2 linked regions of the Arabidopsis thaliana genome follow. The protein of the gene in region 1 interacts with the protein of each later gene in a pairwise test. Each region holds a gene or a part of one and is shown in the gene's direction. Other genes may lie near its edges.

Region 1 (8,258 bases):
TGCATTCTTGGTGGTTGGACTGAACATGGAAGCTATGAAGCCCGCGAGATCAAGTCTGATCATGTCTTTATCGGCTACACCAGCTGGTTGAATTTCATGAAAAGTGACGACAGTATAGGATGTGTTGCAACCGAGGCTTCACTAAGATTCCAAGTTACGGACGGGACAAGAGAGGTTACAAACTGCACTGTCGTCAAGTGCGGCTTTAGTCTCATCTATTCACACACTAATGTTGATCATAGCTTGTGTACAGACAATTATTCTGATGTAACTACAACTACCAGTGGGGGTACAAGCTCCGGTTCAATAACGGACGTTGGAGAAAGTTGTTACCAAAATGGAAGTGAAGAAATCATAGAGGAAGCAATGCTTTTCGCAGCTTCAAGAGAAGTTGAAGAAGAAGAAGACACAGAGAGCTTAGTGACATTAAGCTCACTAATGGGAGAAAGTCCAAAGAGAAGTGAGAAGAAGGTACTGATGAGTGTCCGTAATGGTTCCACTAGAGAGGTAGCGATAGAGAGGGACGTTAACAACGCACATTGCCTTTCGTTTTTAAATGTGTTTAGATTTTGGCGGGATTGACAAGAGAAAAGGAGAGATCAAATCATGAAACAAGCACTTGCATATGTACAGAAAGCAAGAGAGAGAGGACTGTACCGGAATTGCTTCCCGGTTAATGTCCGATCGAAATTCAATTCAACGGCAAGCATTGTTGGTGTATCATCCACGGATCCGTCAAATCATAGTTTTGGGGATAATTTTGATTGGGTCTCCTGCACACAACTATCTTATTCCTTACGTCATTATCTTTTAAGTTGGCAAATATTTTTCTTAAGTTAATTAGTTAATGTTTTACGACCTTTTCAACCTAAAAAATGAAACACGAACTACGAACTGACTAGCCCTAATTCTCCCAATTTGATTGAAAGACTCTCCCTGAAACAGAGCACTTTAGGCTAGGTTTCCTACTTTGTTTCTAGCAATCGATTGCTTCGTGGGTAGGTTTTCAAAATCAAAACCTAATATTCACTTTCTTTGGGAATCTCGCGAGTTAATTTACAAGATCACATGTCTCAATGTATCGTAGGGTTTCTGTGTTTTTTTTTTTTTTTTTTCTTTTTCCTGTTGGGAAGGGTTTCTTGTTTTTTTTGCTAAGCTTATTATTTTTCTTTCTAATTTAATTTAGGATCCTTTAATTTATAAAGATAAAAAAAAATTAAATTGTTTGTTATGGAGTGTTTATCTAAATTAGTTTATAATGGTATAGATAAATATGAAAAAATAAAGATACTTATAAATTTAAAGAAGAAAAAAAAGAAAAACTTTAATATAATATTAGATATCCACATATTATTCAGATTTTACTAGGTTTTTTCGAGTTTACCCACTAAACCCGAAACCTATCGGATTTTTTGTGGGCATATTAAATTCGGGTTCGAGTCGGATTAGTTATATTTTGTCAAAAATGTATAATTGTTTGCAAAATGTAACCAAATTTAATTAATTGAAACCATTTTTATTAAAATTGAACAACTTGTAGGTTTTTTCCGACCATTCCAAATCTTACACCTACCCGAACCGAATAATCATAAAACCCCAATGGATAATAGTCTCTTCTTCTACCAGAAATATCCAAATCCAAAAAAAATCAAATCTGATCAAAGTTTCTAAAGCATAAGCCTAGACACAACTTCAATGAATTTCATAAATTTTAAGAAATTATATTTACATTGATATAATCTAATTCTTTTTTTTAAAGCATAAGCCTAGACACAACTTCAATGAATTTCATAAATTTTAAGAAATTATATTTACATTGATATAATCTAATTCTTTTTTTTAAACTACTAAAATATACATATTTATTAGTTTGAAAAATGAAAAATTGAAAAATGAGTGTGGGGCACGTGCCTCACCTCTCCTCTACCTACATCTGCCCCATGTTATAACTCTAATCTCAATATTCTCTCTAAATATTTTTAAATAACGTAATTTTTTTTGTTGTTTACTAAATAACTACTACAGTATACTATGTGATTTAAACTATAAATATTGCTAACTTGTCATAAATGTTTTACACAAACATATATATACTTAATTCTCATTCATCTTCGATACTATTGAATATTTTATTATAATCTTTATCTATACATCTCACCATTTTATATGTTTAGTTGACATCCAAATTTTGGAGTTATTTTAACAAAACAAAAGAAAAAAACAAAACTTTTGACAAAATACACAAAAAAAACATATTTGAAGAAATTTTTATATTTTTTCAAAAGCTTTAGTAGATAATTAAAATTTAATTTGTGATATATGTATATATTGTGATTTACGTATATCGCGGTCATTTTGAGTTAACAACTTTAAAAAATTTACTTTAAATAATAAAAATTATAAAGTCGCATTTTTATAACCTAGGCCTATATAAAATATAATAAGCTTTTAATATTTATTTTATCTCTTGATTTCTAATTCCTAATAACTGTTTCCTATTTTCTTTTTCTTTTTCTTTTTTTTTCCGTCGATTTTCTTTTTGTTCTTATCACATTTCAAAAAACAAATGTTAAAGATATCAATAAAGACGATTAGTGATTAGCTTATGAATTTATTTATATTCTTTTAATGTGAAAAAAGGGAAAGAAGTGAATCTGGTCTCAGCTTTTAATATCACAACTCTTTAGAATACTTCCTATCCCCTTTTTCTTCTTCTTCCCTCTTTCGTTTTCTCGCGACTCTCTAGGGTTAGGGTTTGTTGATTTTCACGCGTTATTCTTCATCTTCTTCTGCAATTCGCAACTAGAGAAGCTAATTCCATTGAAGTTAAGGTAAAGTATCCATCTTTTTGTTTCCCTCCCTCGTTCAATTACTGTCTTAAATTCTCGTTGATTTCCTTTATCCTCTCGATTTGGGTATTCTTTTTTGTCCACCGTCAAGTGAATCTCTCAACGAATTTTTCCATCTTCCGGTTAATTTCTATAGAAACCCTTTGGATCTGTTTTTTTCCTGCTCAATTACTAATTTTCTAGGTATCGTTTCGTGTTTTGAGAAAATTTTGGGATTTTGATCGAATGTATCTAATTGGTGATGAATTTTTAGCCTAATCAAGTTGTTACCACAAGTTCGATTCCATGATTTGCAATTCGTAAAGGTTCATCCTTTGCATGATTCATGTTCATAGCTTGTAGAAGATTTATCCCCTTTGACTCTCGTTTTAGACTATGTGGTTATGTTTCCTTGAAGCCATGTCACTAGTCTCTTCCCCGTTGTGCCCTTCCGTGTAGCTAATTTCTTATTCAAAGCCAAAGTTCGAATGCGGGTATAAAAAACATAGCTATCTACTTTTTCTGATGATCTCTTATCCTATCTAGTGTCGAGTATCAGACTTATTACCATTGTAAAGAGATGCCCCATTTTGGTCCGCTGCTTTTGCTAGGTTGCACAGATTGTTATAAAGTGAAGCAAATTTTGGTTCTTTGCTGTCATTTTGCTACTCTGCTTTACGACACTAATCATGAATCAGTATCTCCCCCTTTGTGCCCTTCTGTGTACTGTTAGAAACCTCAGTTGATTCCTGTTCTTAGAGTTTTCTAAATGCTTATAAGATTATCTGTTATTCAAAGATACGGTTTTAATGCAATTACAAAGATCATAGCTTCGTTTGTTGGGGAATCGATCTGGTTTTTCTTATGTTCTCTTTAATTGTCCTTTCTAGTGTTGAGTTTCAGGCTTATTATTATTTGTAAAGTGATGCACATTTTGGTTCTCTGCTTTTGTTAGGTGGGGATAATTTTTGGTTTTAGAAGATACTAATGGCTGGAGTACTAGCTGGGGAATGTTCTTACAGTGAGAGTGGAGTTTCATCACACTCAAGGAATTCCCATGAAAAGCAAGAAGAGGTTTCCCGCTGGTATTTTGGAAGAAAAGAAATAGAAGAGAATTCACCGTCAAGGTTGGATGGTATTGACTTAAAGAAGGAAACATACCTCCGCAAATCCTACTGTACATTTTTGCAGGACTTGGGCATGAGATTGAAAGTGTAAGTTCTCTATCACCTCATCTTAGATTTCTTTCTGTGCATTGTTCCTTTAACTGCTTCAAGTTGGCTTGGTTTCTTGACATTATAGTTCGTCCAATCCGTCCCATCATCATTGTGGACAGATAATAGTTACCCCTTTACATATAGGTTTCGTTTAATTGGAATTTGATGTGCTGCTGATGGTTTTAGGCATACGTTTGTACTGATGTTAGTTCTAGCACCTTTAAACGGAAAGTTGTAGAAGTTGTGTTTATTTTATCTCAATTTTTCTTTCTTTGGCATGAATACAAGGAAGAGACAGTTATTAGTGGTGAAGACATAACTGCCACACTGTCTTAATTTTGCTTTTGTAGTCATGGTTTCTGCATTGTTCAGAGATTTCAATTTTTGGCTCTCTTGGAAAGTCGCTGATATAGTTTTCCAATCAGTCCCCAGGTTACAATAGCTACAGCGATAATCTTCTGTCATCGATTCTTCTTTCGCCAATCACATGCAAAGAATGACAGAAGGGTGAGTTTATTGTTTTGCACCTGAACAAGTTGAATGCTTAAAAAAAAATGACTCTATTCTGTGTTGTTTGAACCACTATGCTGTAGTCTGGCTAGTATTTAAGGTATTGAAATGTATTGGTTTTATATATAGTGGATCCATCTCCTTGCCATTTTTCATGGTATTTATAGAGAGCTCATTATTGTAGTTTCATTTATAGTTTCGCTACCACTTTGATTTAGATTTTTCTTTTTTACTTATTCTATGCAGAATTAGTGAATTGTGATTGTTGTTATTTCTTCTAGAGCGGAAAAAAATACTCGGATCTTTACTGAGCTCTCTCTTCATGTTGTTTCTGCAGACCATTGCAACTGTATGCATGTTCCTTGCTGGAAAGGTTGAGGAAACTCCACGGCCCTTGAAAGATGTTATTTTTGTCTCCTATGAGATTATAAACAAGAAGGATCCTGGTGCTTCCCAGAAAATCAAGCAAAAGGTATTCCATCTTACTACTGAATCTTCCTAATTTCTCACCTCTGTTTTACTAGTTATAGATGAACGTATCATTTTTTCCCCATATCTTTTGTTTTATTTGACATTGAGGTTTTAGTATTAGCTACAGACTTTGCTTCGTTGTTTTGTAGAACCATGGTCCTTTGGTCCTGATTTATTGTCTGTTGGTCAGCATATCAAAATGTATTTGACCTATATCACTTTTTCAGGAAGTATATGAGCAACAAAAAGAGCTTATATTAAACGGAGAAAAAATTGTTCTTTCCACTCTAGGCTTTGACCTCAATGTTTATCATCCTTATAAACCCCTGGTAGAAGCAATAAAGAAATTTAAGGTTGCACAGAATGCACTTGCCCAAGTTGCATGGAATTTTGTTAATGATGGGTACGTTCAAGAACTATTTCCTTCTAAAGCTTCCAATAATTCTATGTGCCTTGTATTTTCGTCTTCATACAATGAAAAGTGGCTTGCAGTCTACGGACATCTCTCTGCCTGCAATTTAAGCCTCATCATATTGCGGCTGGTGCAATATTTCTTGCGGCCAAGTTCCTTAAAGTGAAGTTACCATCAGATGGAGAGAAGGTTTGGTGGCAAGAATTTGATGTCACACCCAGACAACTGGAGGGTATGTACAATATGAATTGACTTGACAATTCTTGTTTCCTTGTTTGACTTCCATTCCCTTTTTCTTTATGATTTCAAGAGTAATCGTCTTTTGTATATCTCAGATGTTAGCAACCAAATGCTTGAGCTTTATGAGCAAAATCGTGTCCCTGCATCTCAAGGAAGTGAAGTCGAGAGTAGTGTAGGTGGAGGGTCAGCTCAGCGACCAGGCTCCAGAAATGCGGTTTCAACCGATGAGCATGTTGGTTCTAGGCAAACGTCATCAGTACGTTCAACCCATGAACAATCAAATTCTGATAATCATGGGGGTTCATCCAAAGGAGTATTGAATCAGAACAATGAGAATGGGGGTGGTGAGGCAGCTAATGTCAGTGTCGATAACAAAGAGGAGATAGAGAGAGAAACAAAAGAAAGCAGCCTACATCTTGAAAGCCATCCAGCCCATAAGGACAATGTGAGAGAAGCCCCCCATAACTCTAGACCTTTAGTTGAGGGACCTGGGAAAGACAACTCAGAAAGAGAGGGTGGAGAGCTACAAGATGATGGTGCTGTTCATAAATCTCGAAATGTTGATGTGGGTGATGCCCTAATCAGCCAATCGCCAAAAGATTTGAAATTGCTTCGAGATAAGGTGAAGGCTAAACGAGAGAAAGCTAAGAAGTTGCTAGGTGAAAGAACGAGGAAAAAGGATTTGATGGATGAGGATGATTTGATTGAAAGAGAACTGGAAGATGTGCAACTAGCTGTTGAGGATGAAAAGACGAAGGAAAGGAAAGTACAGAGCAGGCCAAAGGCGGAGAACTCTGATCTCATGGGTACAGAACATGGTGAGATTTTAGATGTTAAAGGAGAAGTCAAAAATACAGAGGAAGGTGAAATGGTAAACAACAATGTGTCCCCGATGATGCATAGCAGAAAGAGAAAAATGGGAAGCCCTCCTGAAAAGCAGTCAGAAGGAAAGAGACGCCACAATAGTGAGAATGGGGAAGAAAGCCATAAGACGAGCAGAGGTAGTAGCCATCATGGTGATAGAGAGCACAGAAGACACTCACAAGAGAATAACCATTCATAAGAGAGGTAATGATTATTAAAACTGCTACTCTTTGTATTCCATCTAAATGGTCTTTTTAAAAGACCTTTGGCACTTCGATGCCCAACCATGTGAACTTGACTTCTACATGGGTCGGTTCAGTCGTTGGAACCATGCTCTCTGTATTTTATGTTGATTATATATCTATTCGTGGCATTTTTGCACAATCCAACGACTTGAACTAGGACTCATCATCCTAAAAGGATGTTGAGAAGCTAATTAGGTGTTTCTTCCTGTAACCACTCCATGCTAGGGTTCTTTAATTATGCATAATTACCTGCTTTTTTCCATCTAATCTAAACCGGGCTAAGGTTTGATTCTGCTTGGCAACTTCATAGTCACATTTACTTCGTTTCCTTATATTGATGCGCATTGTGAAAAAGTTTCCTCTAGTACGGTAAAATTAGTGTCAGGTCATAGGAAGTAATGTATAGGTTGTGGTTAAGTCCACTTGATAACTTCTTTGTTACTGTACATTGTTGAATTGAGTTTACTTTTGATGCCAAAATATTGTTACGACCAATGTTTTCTTAAGTTATATATGATGTAAAAGAGAGAAACCTTTGTATTGTACGGTATCAAAATGAACTATATGTACTTTTAAGTCTGTCAGATTTTGTTTTCTTCGAAAAGTGATATTTTGTATGACCTATCGGAGAAGTGCCATCTGATTCGGAAGCATAAATACAAAGAAAGCATGTAGAAAGAAAGAACGAAAATAACTAAATATGTAACTCTTCTGTTATCTAGAAAAGAAAGGAAGAGATCTATAGAGTAGAACATTCTGTTCCTAGACTAAATATAAAATATAAAAAAATCAACTTCCACCAACCTAGAGTTTGGCAAAAGAAGCCTGAACCTACGTAAAGAAATTATTTAGTTTTGTTTTGTTAATAGCGTGTCGCACATATCCAAACTTTAGCTTTTAAAAGGGACAAGCTATCTCGTTTCACTTAGATAACTGACGCCATTTGTAAACGTCAGAATCATGACGTCACTTTTCTTAATCTTAGCATTGGTTTTAATTGACATTAAAACTCTTATACTTTCAACTTACATGCTCCCAAATAGCTATATCCGATCCGACTAGACAAGATCCGACCCAATAGCACCTTATAAAGATGTTCTATGCAAATCAACAAATCTCAAAATATTTTCCACATAAAAAGTTTTATAATATCTCTCTATTTCATAATCTTTTTCATGGCTTACAACTACAATATGCATACTTCATCAAGAGTAGCTATCATAGGTGCGGGTGTTAGCGGTTTAGCTGCCGCTAAGCACTTAGCACGTCACCATCCACAAGTCTTTGAAGCCTCTGATTCGATTGGAGGTGTTTGGAGAAAATGTACGTATGAAACAACTAAGCTCCAGTCGGTTCGAGTAAGCTATGAGCTCTCCGATTTCCTTTGGCCGAACAGAGGCGAAAGCAGCTTCCCAACTTATGTCGATGTATTGGATTATTTGGAGGCTTATGCAAAGCATTTTAACCTTGT
Region 2 (6,946 bases), 7.7 Mb from region 1:
TTCACAGGAGTGTTAACAATTTCACTGGTCTGCAAATAAAATTATCTTATGGAAGCTTGAGAGGCAAGAGATGGTCAACTAGTCAAACCACCACCACTCTCTCATCTCTGTCTTCTTAAAGTTCGATAATAATTTTTGGAGAGGAGACTCTGGTTGTTCATCAACAGAGTGGTCATGAGCCACATGTATTGCTTGTGTATAGAGAGATTTAGAAATTAGGAACTTTTTCGTATAAATATACTCATTGTACTCAGCTACTCACTAGACTCATCTCTGTTTTAGTAATATTTTGAATACTGTATCTCAAATAAATTAATCTTATCAAATAGAAACCATAGTTGAAAAGTCATGAATGATTCTTAACTGTACAAAATAATAAGCTTTGGTAAAACCCTAAACTTTCGTTTCCAAGATGCAATTTCTAGCTTCTCTCGTTTCCAATTCCAGAAAGTTTGGTCGGAGATGGGATCGAGCTCTCTCGTTGCATCATTTCTCTTCGAATGCGACACCAGCTTCGATATCAAATCCAGCGTTCGTCGAGTTTCTCAGGGACAATGGGTTCCAGAAACCTCTAGCAATTGCCATCGCAATGCGTTACCCTAACCTCAAATCCCTAGAACAACCTCGGTCAGTGATTCAAATGCTTAAAAGTTACAGTTTTTCCGATACCCAGATCCAGAAATCGATCCGGGTCCATCCTCGAATGATGTTCTACAACGTGGAGAAAATTCTAGAACCCAAACTTCGATTCTTTAAAGATATTGGATTTACTGGCTCTGGTCTTGGTAAGTTCGTCTCTCAAAACTCATCAGTCGTTGGTGTAAGTCTAGTGAAGAAATTGATTCCTACCGTTGAGATTCTGAAATCGATTGTTGCCCCAAAACATGAAGACCTTCCTGTCATTCTTAGTAGATGTGGTTGGCTTCTTCTCAGTAGAGACCCTAACTTGTTTCTCTTACCAAACATCTCATACCTTGAAACCTGTGGAATTGTTGGGTCTCAGCTTGCTTCTTTACTTAGAAGACAGCCAAGAATCTTCAATCTCTCTGAGGAAAAACTCAGAGGATATGTCTCTCGTGCTTTGGATCTTGGTTTTACTTTGAACTCGAGGATGCTTGTGCACGCTGTTATCTCGTTAAGTTCTTTGAGCGAGAAAACGTTTGATCGAAAGGTTAAGTTGTTTATGGCTAATGGATTCTCTGAAGATGAGATAACAGATATTATACGAAGATCTCCAGGTTTGATCCGGTGCTCAGAAGATAAGCTTACACTGGGGTTTGAGTTTTACTTGAAGAGAATGGGGTTAGAGAGGGAAGCTTTGGCGAAACGTCCTTGTGTGTTGTCGTATAATCTTGAGAAGAGGGTGATTCCTAGGCTTAAAGTTTTGCAGATCTTGAGGGAAAAAGGGTTGTTGTTAAAAGAGGAGAAGAAGAAGAAGAACATGGTTGGCATTGTTGAGATGACTGAGGAAGCTTTTCTAGAGAAATATGTTGTGAGATTTGGAGATGAGATTGCTGAGGAACTGCTGGTTGCTTACAAGTGCGTGTGTTTAGTCGATGAAACGCTACTTGATCGTATCAAGATCTAATTGTAGATTTCACAAGTCCAAACTTGAAATTTTGTCATTGTATCCAAACTTCGCTCATCCGTAACTGTGTTGAACATTATAATTTGGAAGTAACTCTTAAATCACCCTTTATTACGAGCTTGAAGCTTCTCATATAATAATGGGATTCATATGAAGCGATTCTTTTTCTATTTCAGCACTTGAGCAAAAACTCAAGATTGTCAAAGCGTCTTAAAAATTTGACTCATGAATTTAACCGGTTTGATTTTGGTTCGTTGTAATAACCGGTTTAAACCAGAGATTGATTCCGGATAAAAAAGCTTAGGTTTTTCCGCGAAGCCGACACTGTAAGGTAGGGCTAAAACCTTAGAATAGCCGGAGAGAAGAAGGCGAGAAGAGGAGCGACAAGGGCGAAGCTGCAGAATTCTTCGGTAATTTTCAGATTCGGTTGAATAATGGCGGCTGCGGCTTTTGGGCAGTTAAATCTAGAGGAGCCTCCACCGATTTGGGGATCTCGTAGTGTCGATTGCTTCGAGAAGCTTGAACAGATTGGTGAAGGAACTTACGGGTATTCTTCTCCATTCTTTTTTTTTCTGGGTTTTGTTCCTTGATTCCAATTTATTTGGTTTTGTCAGAGTACTCGTGCTCAAGACTGAAATTTCTCAAATTTGAACGATTTCGCTAGGGCCACTTGATATATAAGTTTTTTTGAAACAATTTTGATTGTGAAACGTTTATATATAGTTATTGATCCATATATTGTTGATTTGAGGAATTTTAACTTTGCCTCTTATCTCAATAAATTCGATTTTGTTGATTGAATTTGGGAATTCTCAGATTCTTGGTATGGTAGATATATATATATATATATATATATATATATATATATATATGTTGCAATAAACTTCTGAAGCTGTCTCTTTTGATGGTGTTTAGATTCATATATTAAAATTTGGTTTTGCAGCCAAGTGTACATGGCTAAAGAAATTAAAACTGGTGAAATCGTGGCTCTGAAAAAGATCCGTATGGACAATGAAAGAGAAGGGGTAAGCTACATTTGAACTACCAGTACTAGCTTTGACAAGTTGCAAATTTTTGTGAGTTTCGTATGACTTATATTTCCGTTTTCATTGTTTGCATGGAGTTTCCGATAACCGCTATCCGGGAGATCAAAATTCTGAAGAAGCTGCATCATGAAAATGTCATCCATTTGAAAGAGATTGTTACTTCTCCAGGTAATAAGGAACTCTTATCTTAGCTTGTAATTGCTTTAGAAATTTTGTCAAAAGGGGTGTTAAGTTTGATATGTAGAGTTTTGTGACTGTTTTTGTCTTTAAAAGGTCGAGATAGGGATGATCAAGGAAAGCCAGGTTAGTGAAACTTATTCAAGATCGAAATATTTTCTGTACAACTTAGATGCGACTATGAGAGATCTATTTAAACTGCTTACGGCCTAAAGCTTGTTGCTTTTCTTCAATTTTAGATAATAACAAATACAAGGGTGGAATCTACATGGTCTTTGAGTACATGGATCATGACTTGACTGGACTTGCTGATCGTCCTGGACTGAGATTTACGGTTCCTCAGATAAAGGTATTGCATGGCTAGACACCTTGTTGTAGTAGCCTTTGCAAAAACCCTTATTGTTCCGACTTTGTCTGACATTTGAACATATGTAAAAAAGTGTTACATGAAGCAACTGCTGACTGGGCTTCACTATTGTCATGTGAATCAAGTGCTTCACCGTGATATAAAAGGTGAATATATCCCAAAATACATTGTTGACCATTTTGTTCTCTTGTCTTTATTTGCTAGTTAACCTATAATATATTGGTGCAGGTTCGAATCTACTTATTGACAATGAGGGAAATTTAAAGCTAGCGGATTTTGGGCTTGCTCGGTCATATTCTCATGATCATACTGGAAACCTCACAAATCGTGTCATCACTTTGTGGTATAGGTATGTATGCCTACAAACTTTGAAGTTATATACAAAAAAGTGACAAAGAATAAGTATTGCTTATACGTGCAGCTTTTTCTCTACTTATGCATTGTTTATTGCTGTAGGCCCCCTGAATTGTTACTTGGTGCAACTAAATATGGACCAGCGATTGACATGTGGTCAGTTGGATGCATATTTGCTGAACTTTTGAATGGAAAACCAATCTTGCCTGGGAAAACTGAGGTCAGGATTTCATCTTATGATTATCGTGGTGTGTGTTATTACAGTGTTCTTTGATGATGTTTCCACTTAGCGTTTTAGTCATATTTTTTTCTTTCCAGAATGAACAATTGAATAAGATTTATGAGCTTTGTGGATCACCTGATGAAAGCAACTGGCCTGGAGTTTCCAAGATGCCTTGGTATAACCAAATGAAATCATCTCGGCCCTTAAAGAGACGCGTAAGGGAGATCTACAGACAGTAAGTATAAACCATTATGTAGTTGCGACTCTTTTATGCAACAGTTACTTTGATCCAGGAGATCTCATTTGGTCCTTTTCTCTTCTGCTATAGCTTTGATCGCCATGCCCTTGAACTACTTGAGAAAATGTTGGTACTTGACCCATCTCAGGTACCAAAGAATTTTTAATACAGAGAATTAAGAGCCTTGGTCTAGACATTTAAGTCCTTTCATTTTCCTGTCTGTTGGTACAGAGAATATGCGCAAAGGATGCTCTTGATGCTGAGTACTTTTGGACTGATCCGCTGCCATGTGATCCAAAGAGGTAATCAAATTCTCTTAACTTTCTTGTTATGAAAACCCATTTGGTTCATCATACATCACAAATGACGATCAAGAACAATTAGTGAGTGATTCAGCTTGTACTGAAACTGTGTTATGTCAACAGTCTACCGACATATGAATCATCACATGAGTTCCAGACAAAGAAAAAACGGCAACAGATGCGTCATAATGAGGAAGCAGCCAAAAAACAGAAACTGCAGCATCCACAGCAGCAACATTCTCGTTTACCTCCACAGCAACACGGTGTTGGCCAGTCTCATGCCGCTCCACTTTGGCCTGCTGGACCAAACCACCCTATGAACAACAACGCACCACCACCCCAAATACCTGCTGGTGGCCATTACTATGGAGGAAAGCCCCGTGGTGGTGCACCTGTTCCAAACCGGTACCCTCCTAGCGGAAACCAGACTGGTGGTTATAATAATCAGAGCCGTGGAGGTTACAGCAGCGGAGCATATCCTCCACAAGGTCGTGGTGCACCATATGGCGCCGGTCCTAGAGGACCTAGCGGTGGCTATGGTGTTGGACCACCCAACTACTCACAAGGTGGTGGTCAGTATGGTGGATCTGGTGGCTCTGGAAGAGGTCAGAACCCTATGGGTGGTGCTAGAAACCAACAATATGGATGGCAACCGTAAAGAGAACTCAAAGAGACTCGTATGGTGTGGTCTTGGCTTGATGTCTTTAAGGCAGTTGTGATTTTAGATATGAAGACTTATCTTCGCGAAAGAGAATCTATTTTCATTTGATTTCTTGTCTTAATGGCATTCTTCCAAACATTCTGTGATTGTTGTATGTTTAAATCAAGGTTTATATATCAGAACACAGGAAACCAAATTGGATTTTTACCCAAATCTTATTATTTCTTGCAAAAAAACGTTTCACAACCTCTTATCTGTTTTCGATGAAGTGTGGAAAAACTACACGAATCAGTGTAAACCCCAAAAAGAAAACGAAAAAACTCTCCTCTGAAGCAGCTCCAGCAGTAATTGTGTCATTTCTCATTGCTTATTGTCTTATGCGGATGATTCTACTTTCAGAACAACTTTCATGAACTCGTAAACAAAGTAACTGATTGCCGCGGAAGGCAAAACCTGCAATAGTGAGATAATTCACAAAGCTGTAAAACCTGCAATAAGCTGGTTCAAGAGATTAATTTATGACTAGTATTAAGGAATCAAACCTGCAATAAGCTGGGAATCAAGCCAGCATATAGAGCAGGAACACCTCCTTGTTCAATGATCTTCACACAAGTAGCCACTGCGCTTAACCTTTTAGCATGTGACTGCATTTGTAAACGCCTTCTCACAACTTCAAACGGATATGTTGCTGCTTCTGAGCAAGCCCCTGCGATTGCTCCATATAACAAAGTTCTCATGGGACCAAGCTCGAGTTGATCGAAAGCATTAAGTTCTTCACCTTCTTGCTTCATGTGTTCAAGCCGTTTCTTACCTTCCGGTGTATGAAGGTAAGCTGATTTTAAAATATCATAGACACCGTAGAACACAGCTCCCGATGGAGCCATACTAACAAGTGAAGGTACAAGACCTTTGTATAGGGAAAAGAAACCTTCAGTTTGAATCATGTGACGGAATGCACCAACTACACCACCTAATGCTTCTCCACCGGGTGCCACCATAACCGTTCTTATCTGCAATTCAAAACCAAAGTAATGCTAAAGAACCTCCAGAGAATGGTAAAAGAAGCTCAATGAAGTTTTTGTTGTGATTCCACTTACAGTATCAAGTGGTAGACAAAGCAAACTAGCTGTTACTCCGGCAGCTGCACCAGCAACAAACCTCTCGAAATTTGTCGTTTCTTCATTCCCGGACAATTTCAGAAGCTGACCTCTATATGTATCATATGCATAGAAGTTGATGGACTTAAAGGGAGCAGTTCTGAGAATATTAACCAAATTCCCTTTCCAAAATCCTCTAATCCCTTCATTTGTTGCAATCCTCTGAATGAGTTCAAGAAGATTCCCTTGCTCTCCGCGAACAATGTATTCTAGCTTCATCCGTTCAAGAGGTGCAATGCAAGTTCTGCTCAAACCAAAACCCAATGAGCCACCAAACTACAACAAACCAAATCAATACAAAATCTCAAATAAGCATATCAGTAAGTAACCCCAACACTTAAAGTCTACAACTTTATACTGACACTCAATCTCATTTGACCTCAAGAGTTTCGTAGAATAAGTAAAGAAGAAGGAGAGACCTTGAAACCATGGCTGCAAAAGCTCCAGCCCATAAATGCTTGGTTGTGTTGAGAGCTCCTGCTCCATTTTCCTTAACCCTACGCTTCTCCTTAGATTCTTGACCACCACCGATCAACACCGAACCTTTCTCCGATTTAAAGCCGTTTTGACCATTATACCCTTCACCTTCTTCTTCCTCACCATTACTCTCGTTAATCGATAAACTAACAGACAGAAACAGAGGTTCCCTGGTCCCGTTTCGTCTCCTAAACTTCAAAAAACTCGACTTTTGACTGAAGCGACACGAATTGACGGAACAATCCTTCGACGAAAGAAAAGAGACAGACGAGGAAGGAAGAGATTCTTCGAGAAACAACCCACCGCAGATGATTTGACCATTGTGATCTAATGACTCTGATCTGATTGCTTCAGCT

The links. The genes of interacting proteins can lie anywhere in the genome.
Region 2: the proteins of AT5G45190 (region 1) and CDKC2 interact in a protein complementation assay, tested with the Arabidopsis thaliana proteins (one study listed by BioGRID).

The regions. Positions count from the first base shown.
Region 1 is NC_003076.8:18,276,291-18,284,548, reverse strand, and holds AT5G45190 (Cyclin family protein), read left to right. Parts: upstream 1-2,674; 5' UTR 2,675-2,831; intron 2,832-3,783; 5' UTR 3,784-3,815; coding exon 3,816-4,040; coding exon of another isoform or gene 4,041-4,042; intron 4,043-4,105; coding exon 4,106-4,129; intron 4,130-4,231; coding exon 4,232-4,249; intron 4,250-4,470; coding exon of another isoform or gene 4,471-4,477; coding exon 4,478-4,552; intron 4,553-4,892; coding exon 4,893-5,027; intron 5,028-5,253; coding exon 5,254-5,429; intron 5,430-5,518; coding exon 5,519-5,670; intron 5,671-5,773; coding exon 5,774-6,741; 3' UTR 6,742-6,929; downstream 6,930-8,258. Other genes in the region: AT5G45200 (Disease resistance protein (TIR-NBS-LRR class) family), read left to right, coding at 1-582; AT5G45180 (Flavin-binding monooxygenase family protein), read left to right, coding at 7,963-8,258.
Region 2 is NC_003076.8:25,953,475-25,960,420, forward strand, and holds CDKC2 (cyclin dependent kinase group C2), read left to right. Parts: upstream 1-1,899; 5' UTR 1,900-2,022; coding exon 2,023-2,135; intron 2,136-2,531; coding exon 2,532-2,613; exon of another isoform or gene 2,614-2,675; coding exon of another isoform or gene 2,676-2,711; coding exon 2,712-2,802; intron 2,803-2,907; coding exon 2,908-2,937; intron 2,938-3,050; coding exon 3,051-3,160; intron 3,161-3,251; coding exon 3,252-3,324; intron 3,325-3,406; coding exon 3,407-3,527; intron 3,528-3,634; coding exon 3,635-3,752; intron 3,753-3,850; coding exon 3,851-3,990; intron 3,991-4,083; coding exon 4,084-4,141; intron 4,142-4,224; coding exon 4,225-4,295; intron 4,296-4,418; coding exon 4,419-4,953; 3' UTR 4,954-5,331; coding exon of another isoform or gene 5,332-5,409; 3' UTR 5,410-5,417; intron 5,418-5,492; downstream 5,493-6,946. Other genes in the region: AT5G64950 (Mitochondrial transcription termination factor family protein), read left to right, coding at 413-1,588; AT5G64970 (Mitochondrial substrate carrier family protein), read right to left, coding at 5,332-5,409, 5,499-5,966, 6,054-6,357, 6,533-6,946.